4 linked regions of the Ovis aries genome follow. The protein of the gene in region 2 purifies or fractionates together with the protein of the main gene of each other region. This does not show direct contact. Links are inferred from orthologs where the notes say so. Each region holds a gene or a part of one and is shown on either strand. Other genes may lie near its edges.

Region 1 (4,229 bases), on a different chromosome or scaffold from region 2:
TGCCAGGGACTACTGCACTGTAACAGACTGTGTCCCTGACCTCAGGAGAGATCACAGTCCAGAAAGAAATGGAGACGTGATCATTTGGCCACTGCAGGGGGAGTGGTCATGGGAGGGACGCCCAGGCCAGTGGGATCACAGAGCAACACCCATAACCCAGGCCCCCACCCCCACCTGGGCCAGCAAGTCATTCATGGTCTCACTGCTCTCCTCGTGGTTCCGGCCCAGAATCCGAAGCAGACGAAGTATCTGGACCTGAAATTGGGTTAAATAAAAGTTGGGGGAAAGGGGTTGAGGAGAGAAATCCAACGTTGAGAGCACTGTGAGGGGTCTGGCTGGCTCCCAATAGCCTCCTTGCAGTCCCCCCTCCCAGCCTCCTCTGTCCCCTTGGGCCCTGGGAGGGTTCAGAGGTGAGTGAGGCCAGGAGATCTGGGGACAGTCTTTTGAAAAAAAAAAAAAAAAATGTTACCAAGTTGGATTTTCTACTTTTCAGGCACTCCCCATCCCCACACTGGACCTGGGATGACCTGGTGCCTGCCACCCTCCTGCCCAAGTTACTGATGAACCAAAGTATTGTCTGGGAGGGGACCCCTGGCCATGGGATGCCTAAGCTTTTTGTTCCAGGGATACAGCAGGGAAGGATCAGCCCACCTGCAGGAATGGGTCGCTGACTCCAGACACGCTGTGTTCTGTGGAGCATCCTGTCATCACCAGAGTCCGGAGGGTGTGCACCAGCTGGGGTACCACCTGGAGGGAGGGCAGAGCCTGACCTGGGCATTCTTCCTAATCCTCTCTCCCTTCAGCTCCCTCCAACCCCACTGCCCTTCTCCTCCTGGCCCGGGGCCCACCCCTTCACCAGCCCACCTTTCGAAAGTGCTGGAGGGCTGCAGGGCTTCGTTCGCAGAGCTCGGTGATCAGCGTGACAGTGCCCAGCAGGATGCCTGGGTCAGGGTGAGGGAGCCAATGGTGGACAGGGCACAGGGGAGTCTACTGTGTGCGTGTTTGCATGCACGTGCTGCCCTTCACCTGGGAGCTACTGTTCCTGTCCTTGGGCTCCCTTTCCCACAGCCAGAGCTGAGGCAGTGGACGAGGAGCCCCGTGGCCTTACCATGGTGGCGTTCATGAAGCAGCTGGGCACAGGGTGGGAGGAAGATGTCAGAGAGTTCAGGGACCTTCCGGATCATGTGTACTGCAGTCAGAACAGCCTGCAGAGGTCACAGGGCTCAGAGAGGGCGAGGGTCTGCCAGGATGGAATCCCCCACCTCTATCATGTGGCAGACAGGACAGTTTGTGCAGGAGCAAGAGCCTAGAACCTGCTGTCTCACCTTCTTGCGCACATAGGGGCTGGGCTGCAGGAGCAGCTTCTCCACCTCTGGGGCCAAGTCCCGGCACATCTCAGCAGAGCCCATGGCACTCAGTGTGCACAAGGCTAGGCCTTGGACAGCCTCAATTCCCTGGCTCAGGTCACTGCAGAGTTTGGGGAGGACAGTCAGTCAAGCCTCTGAGAAGTCCAGTCCTTCAGTACCTACAGCAGGCAACCCCCTGGGATTTCCCAGTTCCCCACTCTCCCATCTCCCTGATTCCAAGTGCTTCCCAGAACCCTCTCACTTCTTGATGCTGTTGGTAATGAGCAGGTGGGCATCCTGCCTCTCATCCAGTAGAAGCATGGCCCCCAGGTAGCCCACCCTCTTGTCTGTGAACCTGGGGGAGGCGATCAGTTTCAGGCACTCCATCTACAGGGAAGGGGGCAGACCAGGAAGGGGTAGGGGTGAAACCGGAGGCACTAGCGTGGCTTTTGGTTCTCCTTTACACCAGATTAACCTGTGGGGGCAGCATACCCCAGGACCGCCCCGTTCAACATGAACAGAGGTTTAGGAGATTCAGTTAGTTTCAAGGAAACGGAAGAATGGGAGGAGAAAGGAAGGGCCTTGAATGGCGCTGGCCAGAGAATGAGGGGTTCGGTCCATCTGATGACCAGTTGGGGTGGTAAAGGGCAAGGAGATCTGCGGTACACCCTGTGAGGGCCCAGAAACTCCGCAGAATAAAGAAATCGAGAAACAAGTAAGTGAGGGGGTGGTGTTCGCTACCGTGCCCCACTAGCTTCTCTCATCAAACTCGGACGGGAGGCGTCCACGCCCAGTACCTGTCCAAAGTGGGCGGGGTAGCCTAACATGTGGACGTAGAGCAGTTTGGCCAGCTGGCGGTGGCTGTGCAGAGGGTCCCCATCGCGGAAGGAGGCCCGGATGTGGGCGCACTCTTTCTGGATCACCTCCCGCTCCTGGGCCTGGGTCTTGGCCTCACGAATCTCCTGGATTAGATCCTGAAGCTTCAGCGAGGACGCCACCATCCTGGCGGGCAGAGCCCGGAAACGGAGAGGGCCTTAACCCTCTGGCAGTAAGCATCCGGCCTTTTCTGCACAGGCTTGCAATTAACCAAATTCCCGAGGGCCCGGGTCCCAAGACACGCTAAAACTGATCCCTGTCCCCAAATGCCGCCCGAGACCTCCATTACGCATGCGTCCTCGCCCCACCCCGCACCCGTCGCTACCGAGCCTGCGCTGGAACCCCGCCTATTTCCCCCCCAACGGCGGGTCTCCACCTGGCTTCCCATCCCTAGCTCAGTTATTCCCTTCCTTCTAGAGCCCGGCGCTGCTTCTTTCGCAGAGACCCCCGTCCCCTTCTCAGGCGGTGTCAGCTTCCCCACACCAGGACGCCAGCCTCACCTGGCTTCAGTCTCAACTCCGCTCCTCTCCCCCCAGCGCTTCCTGGTCCTAGCCCCGAGGAAGGTTGGGGCTTGGTCTGATCCTTCTCTCTCCCCGCCCCTATCGCGGGACCCCGCCCCTCCTGGGCCGCCCTGCAGACTGCAGAGCAATCTTGAATCCTCTGACCTTAGGCCTTTCTGATTTGGAGTATAAGGGAAGGATCTTTTTAACTACTTCGGGGCGGCGAGACTGTCTAACAGGCCTGGGACTTCGCAAGAGGGCTCGTTCACTGGAGAGCTTCTGAGAGTTTGGGTTTGAATCCATCGCACCCAAAGGAGAGGACAATTCCCCCCCCTTTTTTTGAACTTTTTTATTAATATATTTTTTTTTTGGTTAAATTTCTTTGTATTTTTTTTTTCCTGCAAGACTTGGTGTTGGCGGCACTGTTGTTTTAACGTCAATCCCAAATTCCATGAAATAGAAATCAGAAGTAAAGTTTGAGAGAGGAAGAGGGAGGGAGGCAGGCCAGGGAGTAAACAGAGTTTGACTAGAAAAAAAAGAAGAGTTTGTGTGTGGTGGGCATTCCCAGGCAAGGCCATTCCTTGAGGGAGGGGGTTGGCAGGCAGCTTGCCTCTGCCTCATGCAGGGGAGGGAGGAAAGATCCCCTGGGGACCCTCAAGCCCCCTCTTCCTAGGGCTTCCTGTCCCCAGGGGAAACGCTAGTACCAGGGATCAGCCACAACCTCCAACAGGGCTCTCTACCCACCTCTCACCCCGGTTTGACTCTCACCTCTCTGCTCTCCCTGGAAAGTGTGTGAGATTGATCCCCTCCTTTGTGTTGTTTTTCCAGTTCACAAGATTCTGATATGATGGGGGAAGGGATCTAACCCACTTAGAGACTACTGACCAGCTTCTCCTGCCCTGTGAGTTCCTGTTTTCTTGTGTGGTTCATTTTCCAGAACTGCCTCCCCCCGCCACTACTGCCAGAGTTGGGGAGTGGGGTCCTTGCTCAGGTGCCCCTAACCCTCTGCAGTAGAAATGTCTTCTTCAGGTCCCTTAGGAATTTAATCAAAGGCCACACGTGAGTCCAGACCAACCAAATAAACTTTTAGGGGGAGAGAGAAAGGTGGGAGAGGTCAGCAGGTGGGCTTGGCTGCATGGGACTTTATCTTTCCTTTACGCATTGCTCTTGACATGGCATGCCATCCTAGGGGGTTGGGTGAGGGGCTGGCTGTTGGGGAAAGAAAGAGGGAGAAGATGCTCAGGAGCTGTTCTACTTTTCATTTCTCTCATCTCCTTCAGCGAAGGATGGAGTTTGGTTAGAACCTAGCTCAGTACTTGGAGGTGAGATAGGCTCCTCCGAGGTCAGAGATGGAGGCTGCATCCCTTCCAGATCTGTCACCAGGCCTCAGAGGGGCACCAGGCTCCTTGGGTCGGGGAGTCCTAGCTGCACGGCCAGTGCCCTGCCCAGTCGACAGTCTTCTCCAGTATCGAGTGTACCCCTTCCCCACGTTCTTCCTTTCCACTCG
Region 2 (3,500 bases):
ACAGCAGTAACAGGAAAACCTAATGCTCCGTGAGACACACTGACCTTGGGAGGCCAGGAGGGGGCAGCTAAGAACCCCAGAGAGGAAGCACCCCGCTCGCCCAGGCACCCCACCCCTCAGCCCCGTTCACTCCAGAAGCCCCGGGCACACCAGGAATGTATCACAGGCAGTGACTGTCCTCGCAGGCAGGGGGCGGGATGGACATCTGCCGGGGGGCTGGAGCAGCAAGGGGCTTGGGAGCTACTGCCTGGTCTTCCCTGAGCGGCTCAGCGCCTGGGGGGGGCGGGCAAGCCCCGGGAGCCCCGGCCCTGACAGAGCAGCTCTCCTGGCACCGAGGGGACTCTCCACGCACACCAGGATGCCTGCCAGGGCCTGTCCCAGGAGGGGGCAGTTGGCAGGGCCTCGCCACCAGCCAAGGGAGACGGGGCAGAGGGACCCCGGGCTGGGAGCCTAAGGAGGCACTGCGGGCTCGCCCTCCGGTGCCAGGAAGAGCCGGAGAGGAGCCCTGGCCGCTCCGTGCAGCCCTGCTGCCACTCTGGCTCCTCTGGTGCCCTCCTCACCTGACCCCGAACGTCAGCACGATGGAAACAGGAGAGTCCTGGGCACAGGAGCACCCCAAGGCCTGGGAAGCTGGGGGGTGCCAGGAGCCTCGCTGGCCCCTCGCGAGGGAGGTGCTGCCACCTCGCAGGGGGCTCTGAGGAAGCTGGGGTGGGTGCTGGACGGCCTCAGTTCTTCAGGATGGTCTCGTAGGCCTGGTACACGTGCTGGGACACCTCCGGAGCTCGGCACTTCAGGGACAGCTGTAGGGGGACAAGGGTGGGAGGCAGGGACCCCTTATTCCCGGGGCTCCTCTCCAGGCTGGGGGCGGAGAGCAGATGGCAGAGGGTGGGGCGCACGTGGGACCTGGGGGGGCGGCAGCAGCGGCTGGAGCAGCTGTGCGGTGCCGGCGAGGGGGCGGCCCCGCAGCCAGCCGGGCGGGGACCAAACAGACTGCAGCCCACAGACCTGCTGTCCCGGCCCCCAGAGCCGCTGCAGCATGAGTCAGAGCCCGTGGAGAGTGGGGGTCCCTGAGGACGTTCTGGGGACCAGGAGGGAAGCTGTGGGGGCCCTGGGGGGGTATCTTTCTAGTTTCTTGCACAGGAAGCAGTTGTGTCAAATCTGGCTCAGCTCTACCCGCGAGGAGAGCTGGCAAGCCCAGGAGCAGAGACAGGCTCGCCCGCCCCTCCTGCCAACGCTGCTGCTCAGAGGGGCCCCAGTCTCCTCCGAGGGCTCTGCGCACAAGGCCTGTGGGGAGTGTGGTGCCAGGCTGGAGAGCACAGGGTGTGGCAGCAGGGGCGGTCTGTCCTCTGGCCTGCAGCCTGCATGCGTCTGCCTGGCTTTGGGGAGCAGGGGGGCGAGGCCAGGCCAGGAGGTGGGTTGTGCCAGGCGTGCCTGGGAGGATGGGGGAAGAGGAAGAGAAAAGCAGTCCGCTAACCTCCAGGTCCTGCACCGCCGGCACCGGCAGGGAGGTGGACATGCAGCGACCAGACACAGGGAGACAGAAATTACCACCACCAGCCGCGGCGCCCATGCCGCCGAGGGGCCGGAGAGCAGCGTCGGGCGGTCATGCCTGTCCGCTCGGGTGCGGGGAGAAGCCAAGCCTGGGCTCTCGGGGGCCGGGACAGCGGCGCAGCCTCTGGGAAGCCTTGTCCTTTCTCGGGGAGTGGGGAGCCCAGGGGCCAGGGCTCCCTGAGTCCAGCGGAGCCCCTTCCCAGTACCAGATGGGCCTCACAGGGCCCGATTCTAGTCCACTTCACTGTTCGGAGACCTGACTTGGTGCCTTATCTGGGACACTTGATGGGACTGAGCTGAAGCTTTCTACGATCAGAGTCCTGGTGCTTCTTCACACCAGGCTCAGCCTGACTGGATGCCCCACCCCACCCTGCCAGGGCCGACCCCAGCCTGGGCGGCATGCGGGCAGGAAGGCAGAGGCCGCAGGGCTCTAGGTGGGAGCGGGCGCCTCACCGTGAAGCTGGGGTTGCCGGGCTGGATGCGCAGCTCGGCCAGCACCCAGATGCCGTTGGTCAGCTTGAGAGACTGGTAGAGCATGTCCTGGCCCTCCACGTTCCTCCTGGCCACAGTGAAGATGCTGCTGCTCTGCAGCCGGCTGCTCACGGCCTCTGGGGGTCACAAAGTCAGAGATGGAGGGTCTGGCGCTCAGGGCTGGGGGCAGGGCACAGGGCAGCATGGACAGGCACAGGGCTCGGGAGCCCTACCTGCGTTGAGGGGGCAGTCTCTGATCTGGAACTGGGCCTCGTTCTCGTTGGGAATGTCCTTCCACGTGGCCAGGAACACCTGCCGGTCTGCAGGGGCACAGGCGGGACCCCACCCAGCACCCCCGTCGGGAAGCGGGCGGTTAGGCCCTGCACCCGAGACCAGGGCGGCTCCGCCAGGGCCCCTCCTGCTTCCCTCGGCAAACCCCGAGCCTGTGTTCCGTGGGGGCCGCCTGCGCTGCTCCCGCCTCTGGGCCTTTGTGCCCTCCCCGCTCCTGCCCACAGCCGGCCTCCGGCCCTGGCACCGAGCAGCCCGTTCGTCGGTCCCAGTGACGTCACGGGCTCCTGTGGTGACAGCTGAGGGGGGCCTACGCCCTCTGGGCACGGGACGTGCCTTCCCGAAGGTTCCTGCTGGGGCCCAGGGGTGGGCATCAGGTGTGACGCATGACCTAGGGCCCCTGCCTCCGGGGGCCTGTGGGATAACTATCTAGAGGCGGCAGGTCAGGCTGAGAGCAGAGCTGGCCAGGCAAGACCCTCAGGCCCTGGGAAAGTGTGACCCTCTCTCCAGGCTCTCCAGGGGAGCCAATGACACAGGCTCCACGCATCCGCTCCAGGGACCCCAGGGCGCCCTCAGGACTCACCCATCTTCCCGTCCTCCACAAAGAGGATATGAAGCGGGTACAAGGTGCTGAAGTAGAAGACGTCTATGTTGTTCTTTACGGCCACCTGGAAACAAGGGGGGCCCCAGGTCGTCCCTTTTGCCTGATGCCCACTGAGGCCCCAGGAAGCCTCTGCGCCTGTGAGCACAGCTAAGCAGGTTCCCGCTTCCCCAGAAGCTATGTCCATCCCCTAGCTGGCCCCCGGTCTTCCATCCCCACCCTTCTGTGCCTAAGAACAAGACTCCACAGACACAGCCCTGTGACAGAGCCAGCCAGGCCCCGAGGGCTTCCCCAGTCCTCCCGCGACACGTGGGCAAGGACTGGGGTGCCTGGTCCTCCCCGGGACGCACCTGCAGGCTGTTCAGCGGCTCTGTCTTCATGACAGAGCCCGCCGTGCTGAGAGGCAGGGAGATCTCCACGGTCTGGGTGGGGCTGAGCGGCGCGTGGACCTGGAGTGGGGCGGCGGGGGCCAGGCCAAAGCTGGGGAGAGAGAAGCCCCCGCGGGGATGGTGGGGAGCAGGTGCTGACACAGGGCAGGCAGGCTCCTGGGGACCCGGGGCCTGGCAGCAGCCGGGGAGAAGGCTCTCCA
Region 3 (4,269 bases), on a different chromosome or scaffold from region 2:
ACTCTTTGTGACCCCATGGACTGCAGCACACCAGGTTTCTCTGTCCATCACCAACTCTTGGAGCTGGCTCAAACTCATGTCTATTAAGTTGGTGAGGCCATCCAACCATCTCATCTAGAGGGCAGACAGATGTAAAGAGTCATTAGGGTGATGATGACATCATAAGATAGAGAAGAAATGTTCAGATAAGTATGTAAATCTGACTTGGGGAGGTCAGGAGATACTTTGAAAGGAGGTGGTACTTCGGTGGTGTCTTGAGAGAGAGTAGGAGGAGTTTGCCAGGGGGACTAAGAAGGGAGTTAGGAGTGCTGCAGCCCCTGAGGAGGCCCCAGTGTTCTTTCACTGAACTGGGGTCTAAGTGTGGCAGGCAGCCAGAGAGCCTGGAGAGTATTTATTTCCCTTCCTACCTAGATTTTGACTTAAGATAGTCTTCTCTTTTGATATCACCCCCTAATGTTGTTGTTTAGTAGCTCAGTCACGTCTAACTCTGCGACCTCATGGACTGCAGCATGCCAGGCTTCCCTATCCATCACCATCTCTTGGAGTTTGCTCAGACTCATGTCCATTGAGTCAGTGATGCCATTCAACCAAATCTTCTCTGTCCTCCCCTTCTCCTCTTGCCTTCAATCTTTCCCAGCATCAGGGTCTTTTCTAATGAGTGGGTTCTTTATATCAGGGGGCCAAAGTATTGGAGTTTAGCTTCAGCATCTGTCCTTCCAATAAATATTCAGGGTTGATTTCCTTTAGGATTGACTGGTTTGATCTCCTTGGGATCCAAGGGACTCTCAAGAGTCTTCTCCAACACCACAGTTTGAAAGTATCAATTCTTCAGGTGCTCACCCTAATAGCAGATGGTTAAATGAAAAGTTTTGGAGTCATACTTGGATTCTAACTCACCAGCTATCTGATCAGTTGTAGGCCCTTACATATGACACTTATTTGTGTTTCAGTTTCATTTGTACAACTTATTTATGTCTCAGTTCCGTCATTTACACAATTTAAAAATAAAAGCATCCAACATAGATTCTGGCATATAAAGAGTACCGTTATTATTTCCTATCATTATCTCATTTAATCCTCGCAAGCAACTTGGACTCTGGATATAGTTCTTCCCATTTTTCAGAAGCATAGGCTTAGCATGGGTAGGTGATCCGTTAAAGTTTTCAGGACAACCTGGAGTTGCCTCTGCTCCACAGCCCGTCCGCCTTAATTACTTGTCCGCGCCGGGTTTTCTCAGGCGGCCCCGGGGCAGGCTCCGGTCCAGCAGCAAAAACTCCGGCGCCAGGATTTGGGTGTCTCCGAGGCCTGTGCCGGGCGGGCGGGGCCAGGCGAGGCGGGGTGGACGAGAGGAGGGAAGTTGTCGAAGTTAGGGGAGACGCCCGCCAGCCGGCCCGGGCCTCGCCTCCGGCCGCTCCCTCCGCCTCCTCCCCGCCCCGAGCCCCTGTCCGCCCGTCCTTCCTTCCCCTCCCGTGCATGATGGAAACACCATGGCTGCGGCGGCCCAGCTCTCCCTGACACAGGTAACGCCGCCCGCCGGTCCGCCGGGCTCGGCCGGCCGGTGTCCCCGGCCCCCTCCCCCACCGCCCTACGGTTCACCGACCCGAGCAGTTTCTCTCCGCCCCGGGCGGGGCGGCCGATACTGAGAGCGCGCGCGCGCGCCTGTGAATGTGAGTGTGAGTGTGACTGCGGGAGGACGCCATCCTGAGCCGGTACCTCCGCCACTCGCGCCCCGGCCCCGCCCCACGCGGCGCCCCCTCCTCCAGACCCCTCCGTGCCCCTGTCCCGCCGGATGGGAGCCCGACCTTCTCCTGTCCGCCTTCACCCACCCAGGAAGTTTCCTCCTTCCAGGCCAGACGCACCCCAGGTGAGCTCCTGTTGAGCTCGCGCGGTTCAGTCTCACCGCCGGGTCTGCCCTCGCCCCGCGCGAGGCTCACCCTCGGGACAGGCAGCGTCACCTTCCCGAGCCAGGCGCTCAGGGCCCCCTCCCAGCCAGGCTTTTCCCTCGCTAAACCGGCCTTTTCCCACTGGAGTCCGACGAAAGCCCTCCCTTTCCCAGCAGTTTCCTCCAGTCAGCCTGTCTTCCAAATAAGTCTCATCCTCCCCGAGCGCGTTCTTACCCCGCTTACCCTGGCTTCAGCCTCTTCTGCTGATCAGGTTTCCTGCTGGGTGAGATCCCCCGATTCAGCCTTTCCCTCCTCAGTTCTGCTACCACTCCTACCGGGTAGGCTCTCTATCGCTGTCCATGGGGATAGCAGGGAAACATCCTTTCACAGGTGTGATGGTTCCGCCCGTCTTGGTGCTGGGAAGGACCTAAGAGATCACTCGTCCTGGGGGAACCTTCACCAAAACCTGTGTGCTCTGTTCTGCCTTGCCTTTCTGCTTCCTTCAGAGTCAGTCCTCGTGCTTCCCAGAAAACCGCTCAGCATCAATCACTCTGGGAACCTCGTTCCTCCCTTTGCGTTGGGAAAACCAATTACAGTCTTCCGGTGATGTCCTGGATGGAGAGAGGTTGTACGCCTGTCAGTCCCTTGGCGCTTCTCTGACCACATCTCACCCTAACCTCACCTTCTCAGCCCGTTCTCTCCAGAACCGGTGGTCACGGACTTTCCTGTTGGGGCCCACGCCAGCCTGCCTGCCTGCCCTGTAGTATCTCTCTGCCACCTTGTATTGGCCTGGATATCTCAGGGTTTCTGAGGCAAAACATTGGGATAGGTTATACGTTTGGGCCAGAAAGTTTTCTGTTTGAGGAATAAGAGACTTTGGGGGTGTTTTGCCTAGCATTCTAGGATAAACTGAGTGAAAAATGTTTCCCTCAGTAACCAGGAATCACGTATAAACAATGTGCCTTAGGTAAAATAAGTAACTTCAGCTTGTAGGAATTTTCAGCTTCGTAAGTGCGAGGTCTGTTATTTTCCAGTTTATTTAGTCTTGCTTATCCTATTTTGACAAGCAGATAAATGGGGAAAAAGACTTGGAATGTGGTGATTTAGTCTTGGTAGTGAATCTCTTTGGAAGGGTCCTCCTGAAACTCAAACTTGAGGAATGGCAACATTGACTTATGGGTGTTCACTCTCTAATAGTGTGGTTAGTGATATGCATTAAACAAGATCCTGTTGGCAAGCTGTTGCTCGTCCGCTCTGCTGGCCAATTCCAGCGAGAGTTCTCCCCTCCTGAAGATTTTGTTCTTCTGAGAACTAATACAGATTTGCTTCTTAGTTGTGTGTGTACTTTATTTTCTTCCTGGGTAAGGTTATGTTTTTAGTTTCTATTTACTGTCATTCATCTCTGAATATTTTCTTCCGGCTCTGTCAGTTTTATAGACAGTTAAACAATTTAAATGTGTTCTTGTGGTTATATATTTAAATATTAACATGTACACAGAGTAAATACTGAATCAGGAGTATTATCGTTCAGTGTTTCACATATGAGAGAACAAACATCGATGGTTCATTTATATTGAATATCCAGATAAGTCAAGTTAGAACATTTTCATTTTAAGACGTTTTTGTTTAGTCGCTAAGTTGTGTCCGACTGTTGCAACCCCGTGGACTGTTTGTTAGCTGGCCAGACTACTCTGTCCATGGGATTTCCCAGGCAAGAATAATGGAGCGGGTTGCCATTTCCTTCTCTAGAGGATCCTCCCCACCCAGGGATCAAACCTGCATCTCCTGCAGTGACAGGCCGGTTCTTTATCGCTGAGCCACCAGGGAAGCCATTTAAGACATTAGGAAGCAATAAGATATATTGTAAAGGCACTGGAAAGAGAATATTCCCAAGTGTTTAAATACCTAATGTGCCTGCTTGTTATTTTAAAACTTGGCTGATTTGTGTTTTTTAATTGAATTTTTAACTGCTTGAGGCAAATAAGCTGAGATAACAGTGCGACTTGGTTTCACATTCATTATTGATCTGTTTATGTCACCATCACCCCCTCACAACACACTCAGACATAGGCATACTCAAGTGAGATCCTACATGGCAGGGACATCTTTCATCTCTCTCCCTCAGCGCATATCTGGAAGAAAGTTATTAATAATATTTGTCTTGTGAATGACTGAAAATTCTGAAGAACTCTGGGACAGTTACAAAGATTAAACAGATGCTGAAGTTAGTTTCTGCCCCTGGTTATTAAATGATAACAGTTTTGCAGTAGGTTGATTTATTCAGCCAGTATTTGTTAAGTACCTATTATGTGCGCTGCTCTATGCTGGAATTGTCTTGAGTAGAATTTTTGGCCTCTATCAATTGAGCAAAACTGACAGTTGGGAA
Region 4 (4,000 bases), on a different chromosome or scaffold from region 2:
AGTGGCCCAGGGTCTACAACTGTTCAGTGAGGCTGCAATGGATGTGTGCAATCAGTAAGATCGGGCCTTTGGGACAGAGGTAGGTGCGTGAAGTAGGTACCAGGCTTGAGCAAAACCAAGAAGGAACAAGTCTCTCTTCAAGGTGAATTTGGAAAGTAAAGGCTGGCTGGAGTTCATCACTGCCTTCCAGATGTCCTTAGCTCTCAGCTCTCCCAGACCTAGTTAGTTAGTGTTAGCCACTCTTTGGACTGTAGCTTGCCAGGCTCCTCTTTCCATGGGATTCTCCAGGAAAGAATACTGGGGCGGATAAGTATTCCCTTCTCCCGCGGATCTCCCCAACCTAGGGATAGAACCCAGGTCTCCTGCATTGCAGGCAGATTCTTTACCGTCTGAGCCACCAGGAAACCTCTGCCAGACTAAGGGACTGCCTATTTCCCAGCCAGGTGAACCCATTCCAGACCCCAATCAGGCAGGATCCAGGCAGGTCTGAAAGTAGGTGAGGAGTCACCTCTTGTAGACAACTTTGAGGTCCCTCCACTCCAGGAAGCTGCACATCTTGGGCTTGCGAGCCAGAACCACCTGCATAAGCTCCCGAACCATCTTCTTCCGCTCCTTGTCTGAGGTGGCCAGGTACCATTTTTGCAGCCGCAGCTTCCCCTGCCGGCTGAACAGCAGCATGAATCGCATCTGGGGGTGGGGGGTAGGGAGAGGAAGGAGGAGTCAGAGCCGAGGTTTAGAGCTTTGATTCTCTGAGCTTGTTTCCTCCAAAACCACACAGTCCCAAACTCCTCCCATTCAACTCTTTTCTCCTCACAGACCCTACTTTCTTCAAAACATCAGCCCTTCTGGTCAACTGGGTATTTCCATTAGCAAGCACCTTCCTTGGAGGGGGTGTCAGCGCTTCTGAGTCTGTCCTGTGGGTTCGAATCCTGGCTCTACTAGTTGAGAAATTTGCCCTGGGCGTTACTTCATTTCTCTGGGCTTCAGTTCCCCTGTGTGTCAGGTGGAAATAATAAAAGTACCTACCTTACAGAGCTGTTAGGTGGAACCGACATAGGAAATCGCGCCTGGCACGAAGTAAGCACTATAACACCTTGGATGTCATTATTATTATGTCCTGACTTACTGTTTCCTAAACCTGGTTTCCAAAGGTGGGTAAAATGCTAGCACAGTGACGAGCAGCCCCTAAGTTGATGGCAAGGAGAAGTTTGCTTTCTTTCCCGCTTTCTATCCACCACCATCCTAAAATCAGGTATTTTCTTTCCCCAAGAAGCTACTTCAGCCCTCTGCCCCATCCTAGCCATACACCCTAGCCAATGTCCCCAACATACTGCCCTCCATTCCTATGCCCAGCGGTATCCTTTATGTTAGCACATGATACCAAGTGAAGTCGCTCAGTCGTGTCTGACTCTTTGCGACCCTATGGACACCAGGCTCCTCCGTCCATGGGATTTTCTAGGCAAGAGTACTGGAGTGGGTTGCCATTTCCTTCTCCAGGGAATCTTCCTGACCCAGGGATCGAACCCAGGTTTCCTGCATTGTAGACAGACACTTTACCGTCTGAGTTACCAGGGAAGTCCATAACATGACACCAGGACCCCCTAGATTCCACCACCCTCCACTCTACTCAGCCATCCAGGCATATAGCCAGAGGTATTCCTTTTTTCTTCCTTTTAGGGTGCCTCCCTAGCATGCCCACACCTCCCCAGATATCAGGTGATCAATTTCCCTTTCAGTTCTTCAGTTTGGACCCAGCCATTCTGGGCGGCTCGCCTAGTGAATGTTCCTGGAACAAGCACAAGGAGGTGGAGCGGGGAGACGTGCAGAGCTCTCACTCTCACTACCCCGTGCACCCCCAGTTTCCCATTTCCAGGGGGGTAGGGGCTCCAGGCCACATCCTGGAGTGATCTCCCTCCCCTTGTAGCTCGTCTCTCCGTGTATGCCACCAGGGCTGGAGTCCTGGGTGTGTGGAACACTACTAGTCTAGACGGCTACAGATCGGAATTCAAGAGAACTGTATTTTCTGCTATCGGGGAAAGGGAAGCGCTGCTAGCGTGGCCGGAGGGCAAAAGAGTGGTGCAAGGGAGCCTAGGATGGGAGGGTGGGCCAGGGAGCAGGAAGACGGAAGGCCTGCGTTCCGGAAAGAGGATAGGGTAGAGGGGCGGAGAGCCAAGAGCCCCGGAGCCGGGAAGCCAAAGCCTGGGTCCCAGAGAGCAAAACTCGAGCCCACCTGGCTTCCCCCACCTCATCCCCGCCTCCAGGTGGGCAGGACGACAAACCGAGGCAGGACGTCTATTCCTCGCACCCCGAACGATCCCCTCCCACACACCGCCCTCCCCGCCTGCCGCCGCTCCACTCTGGGCTGCACGTGGACGGAGGGTCTCGGAGACAGGCGACCCCTGCCGCCTCCGTCAGCCAGCAGGCCCCAGACCCCGTTCCTCGCGCGAGTTCCCTGCGGCAGTGATCCGGACCCCTGAGATCGCGACCCGTGCGCTCCCCCTGGCTCCGGACGGTCCCGCCGCCCCCTAGTCACCTCCCTCTGGCCCTACAAATGCGCCCACTCCCCGCCGCTTCTCCCGAAAGCGATTTCCAGCTGCTCTTCCTTCCGAGGCCGGCTCGCCCACCCGCCCAGGTAAGTGAGGGCCTCTGAGAACTGGAGGAGGGAAAAGAGCGGCTCACACAGAGGGCAGCCCCCAAGGACCCCTGCAGGTGCAGCCCACGCCCCTCGGTCCCCCCTCCCCTCCCTCTTCGCAGAGCCTACCATCCTGCAGCCTCCAGCCCTGCGCGTCCCTCTTCGGCCACCGTAGGCGCCAGCTCCACTCCCTTTCTTACCCTTTCGCCTCCTTCCCTCCCTCTCGCTTGAAGCCCCGCCCCGTCCGCCAGGGTGCCGGGAACCAATACGCTGCGTACTGCGCAGGCGCCGACGCTGCGAGGCGCGCGGGCGGGGCCGGAGGCGGAGAAGCGGTGGCCATGGCAACCAGGTCTTTGACTTCAGCTTTGAGTAGCCCTGTCGTCATGGTAACAAGGCTGTCTTGTGGACTGGTTAGAAGATGGGGGAGGAGGACAATGAGGTCTTCGCGCTTTGGAACCTAGGGGGAAAAAGGCGGGAAAAGGGGTGAGAGGTGGATGAGATGACCCCTGGAGTTTGTGAGGAAGTAGGGTAATTTAATGGAAGGGGTGTGGGCGATTGAGAGGGAGCAGGGTGGAAGCCATCTGTAGAGGAGGAATGACGAGGAAGGCAAAGACAAAGGGTGGTGGTGGGGCAGGTATGAGAAAAGTATGGAGCTCAAAACAGATATCTACTGAGAACCTGCTGGACGCAACAACACTCAAAGTAAGAGAAGGGTGTAGGTAATGAGGCAGACAAGAAATAAGGGAAGAGGAGAAGCTGATAGAAAAGTGAGGTAAGGAAGAGGACAAACATGATCAAGGGGAAAGAAAGAGGAAGAAATAAAGAAAATCTTGAAAAGTTAGCATGGGTCAAAGCTAAAAAGGGACGGTGTGACCCAGACACGAATGTAAAGATGAGACGGAGGTAAATTGCAATACATGTGTTTTGAGAGGGATTTGCAAGTGTGAGTGTGTGTGTCCACATGCCAAAGCACTTTGCATATAAATGGATGAGAGGAAATCTTAAATTTTGTCATGCCAAAAGCTTAATGGTATATTTCTAGACATTTGTTGGTAACTAATGATGCTATTATTTTTGAGTAGCACTTGAAGCAATTATTGGTAAGGCCTTACCTGTCTCTGCTTTGTATTCTTTTCTTCTTACTCTTTTATGGAGGTCATATGCTTTAATTGCAAGAGGGTGGGCTTAATTCACCTGCAATGCAATCTGGTCTCTGACCCTTACCTGATGTGCAGTCTCGGGTGGGTCTTTTAAACCTCCATTTCCTCATTTAAAAAATGAAGATAGTAATACCAACCTTGCAGGTCTGATTTGAGGCTGGATAGAAAGTATCTGAAACATTGTCAACAGTTGATATTGCAATATCAG

Evidence for each region.
Region 1: the proteins of AP1B1 (region 2) and AP1G2 fractionate together in Homo sapiens (co-fractionation; 3 studies listed by BioGRID and IntAct, with this or other methods). This does not show direct contact. The link is inferred for Ovis aries from reciprocal best matches to the Homo sapiens genes AP1B1 and AP1G2.
Region 3: the proteins of AP1B1 (region 2) and EPS15 purify together in Homo sapiens (affinity purification with mass spectrometry; 3 studies listed by BioGRID and IntAct, with this or other methods). This does not show direct contact. The link is inferred for Ovis aries from reciprocal best matches to the Homo sapiens genes AP1B1 and EPS15.
Region 4: the proteins of AP1B1 (region 2) and AP1S1 fractionate together in Homo sapiens (co-fractionation; 6 studies listed by BioGRID and IntAct, with this or other methods). This does not show direct contact. The link is inferred for Ovis aries from reciprocal best matches to the Homo sapiens genes AP1B1 and AP1S1.

What each region holds. Positions count from the first base shown.
Region 1 is NC_056060.1:21,191,397-21,195,625, reverse strand, and holds the start of AP1G2 (AP-1 complex subunit gamma-like 2), read right to left. Parts: upstream 2,801-4,229; 5' UTR 2,723-2,800; intron 2,380-2,722; 5' UTR 2,348-2,379; coding exon 2,144-2,347; intron 1,734-2,143; coding exon 1,609-1,733; exon of another isoform or gene 1,468-1,608; coding exon 1,326-1,467; intron 1,206-1,325; coding exon 1,109-1,205; intron 942-1,108; coding exon 865-941; intron 748-864; coding exon 652-747; intron 256-651; coding exon 175-255; intron 1-174.
Region 2 is NC_056070.1:68,610,691-68,614,190, forward strand, and holds part of AP1B1 (AP-1 complex subunit beta-1), read right to left. Parts: intron 3,392-3,500; coding exon 3,262-3,391; intron 2,979-3,261; coding exon 2,894-2,978; intron 2,343-2,893; coding exon 2,256-2,342; intron 2,160-2,255; coding exon 2,005-2,159; intron 801-2,004; coding exon 726-800; 3' UTR 1-725. UniProt on the Homo sapiens protein: Subunit of clathrin-associated adaptor protein complex 1 that plays a role in protein sorting in the late-Golgi/trans-Golgi network (TGN) and/or endosomes.
Region 3 is NC_056054.1:25,936,446-25,940,714, reverse strand, and holds the start of EPS15 (epidermal growth factor receptor substrate 15), read left to right. Parts: upstream 1-1,469; 5' UTR 1,470-1,487; coding exon of another isoform or gene 1,488-1,520; 5' UTR 1,521-1,789; coding exon 1,790-1,864; intron 1,865-2,126; exon of another isoform or gene 2,127-2,409; intron 2,410-4,269. UniProt on the Homo sapiens protein: Involved in cell growth regulation. May be involved in the regulation of mitogenic signals and control of cell proliferation. Involved in the internalization of ligand-inducible receptors of the receptor tyrosine kinase (RTK) type, in particular EGFR.
Region 4 is NC_056077.1:36,006,079-36,010,078, forward strand, and holds the start of AP1S1 (AP-1 complex subunit sigma-1A), read right to left. Parts: upstream 2,801-4,000; 5' UTR 2,765-2,800; coding exon 2,762-2,764; intron 2,633-2,761; exon of another isoform or gene 2,164-2,632; intron 688-2,163; coding exon 509-687; intron 1-508. UniProt on the Homo sapiens protein: Subunit of clathrin-associated adaptor protein complex 1 that plays a role in protein sorting in the late-Golgi/trans-Golgi network (TGN) and/or endosomes.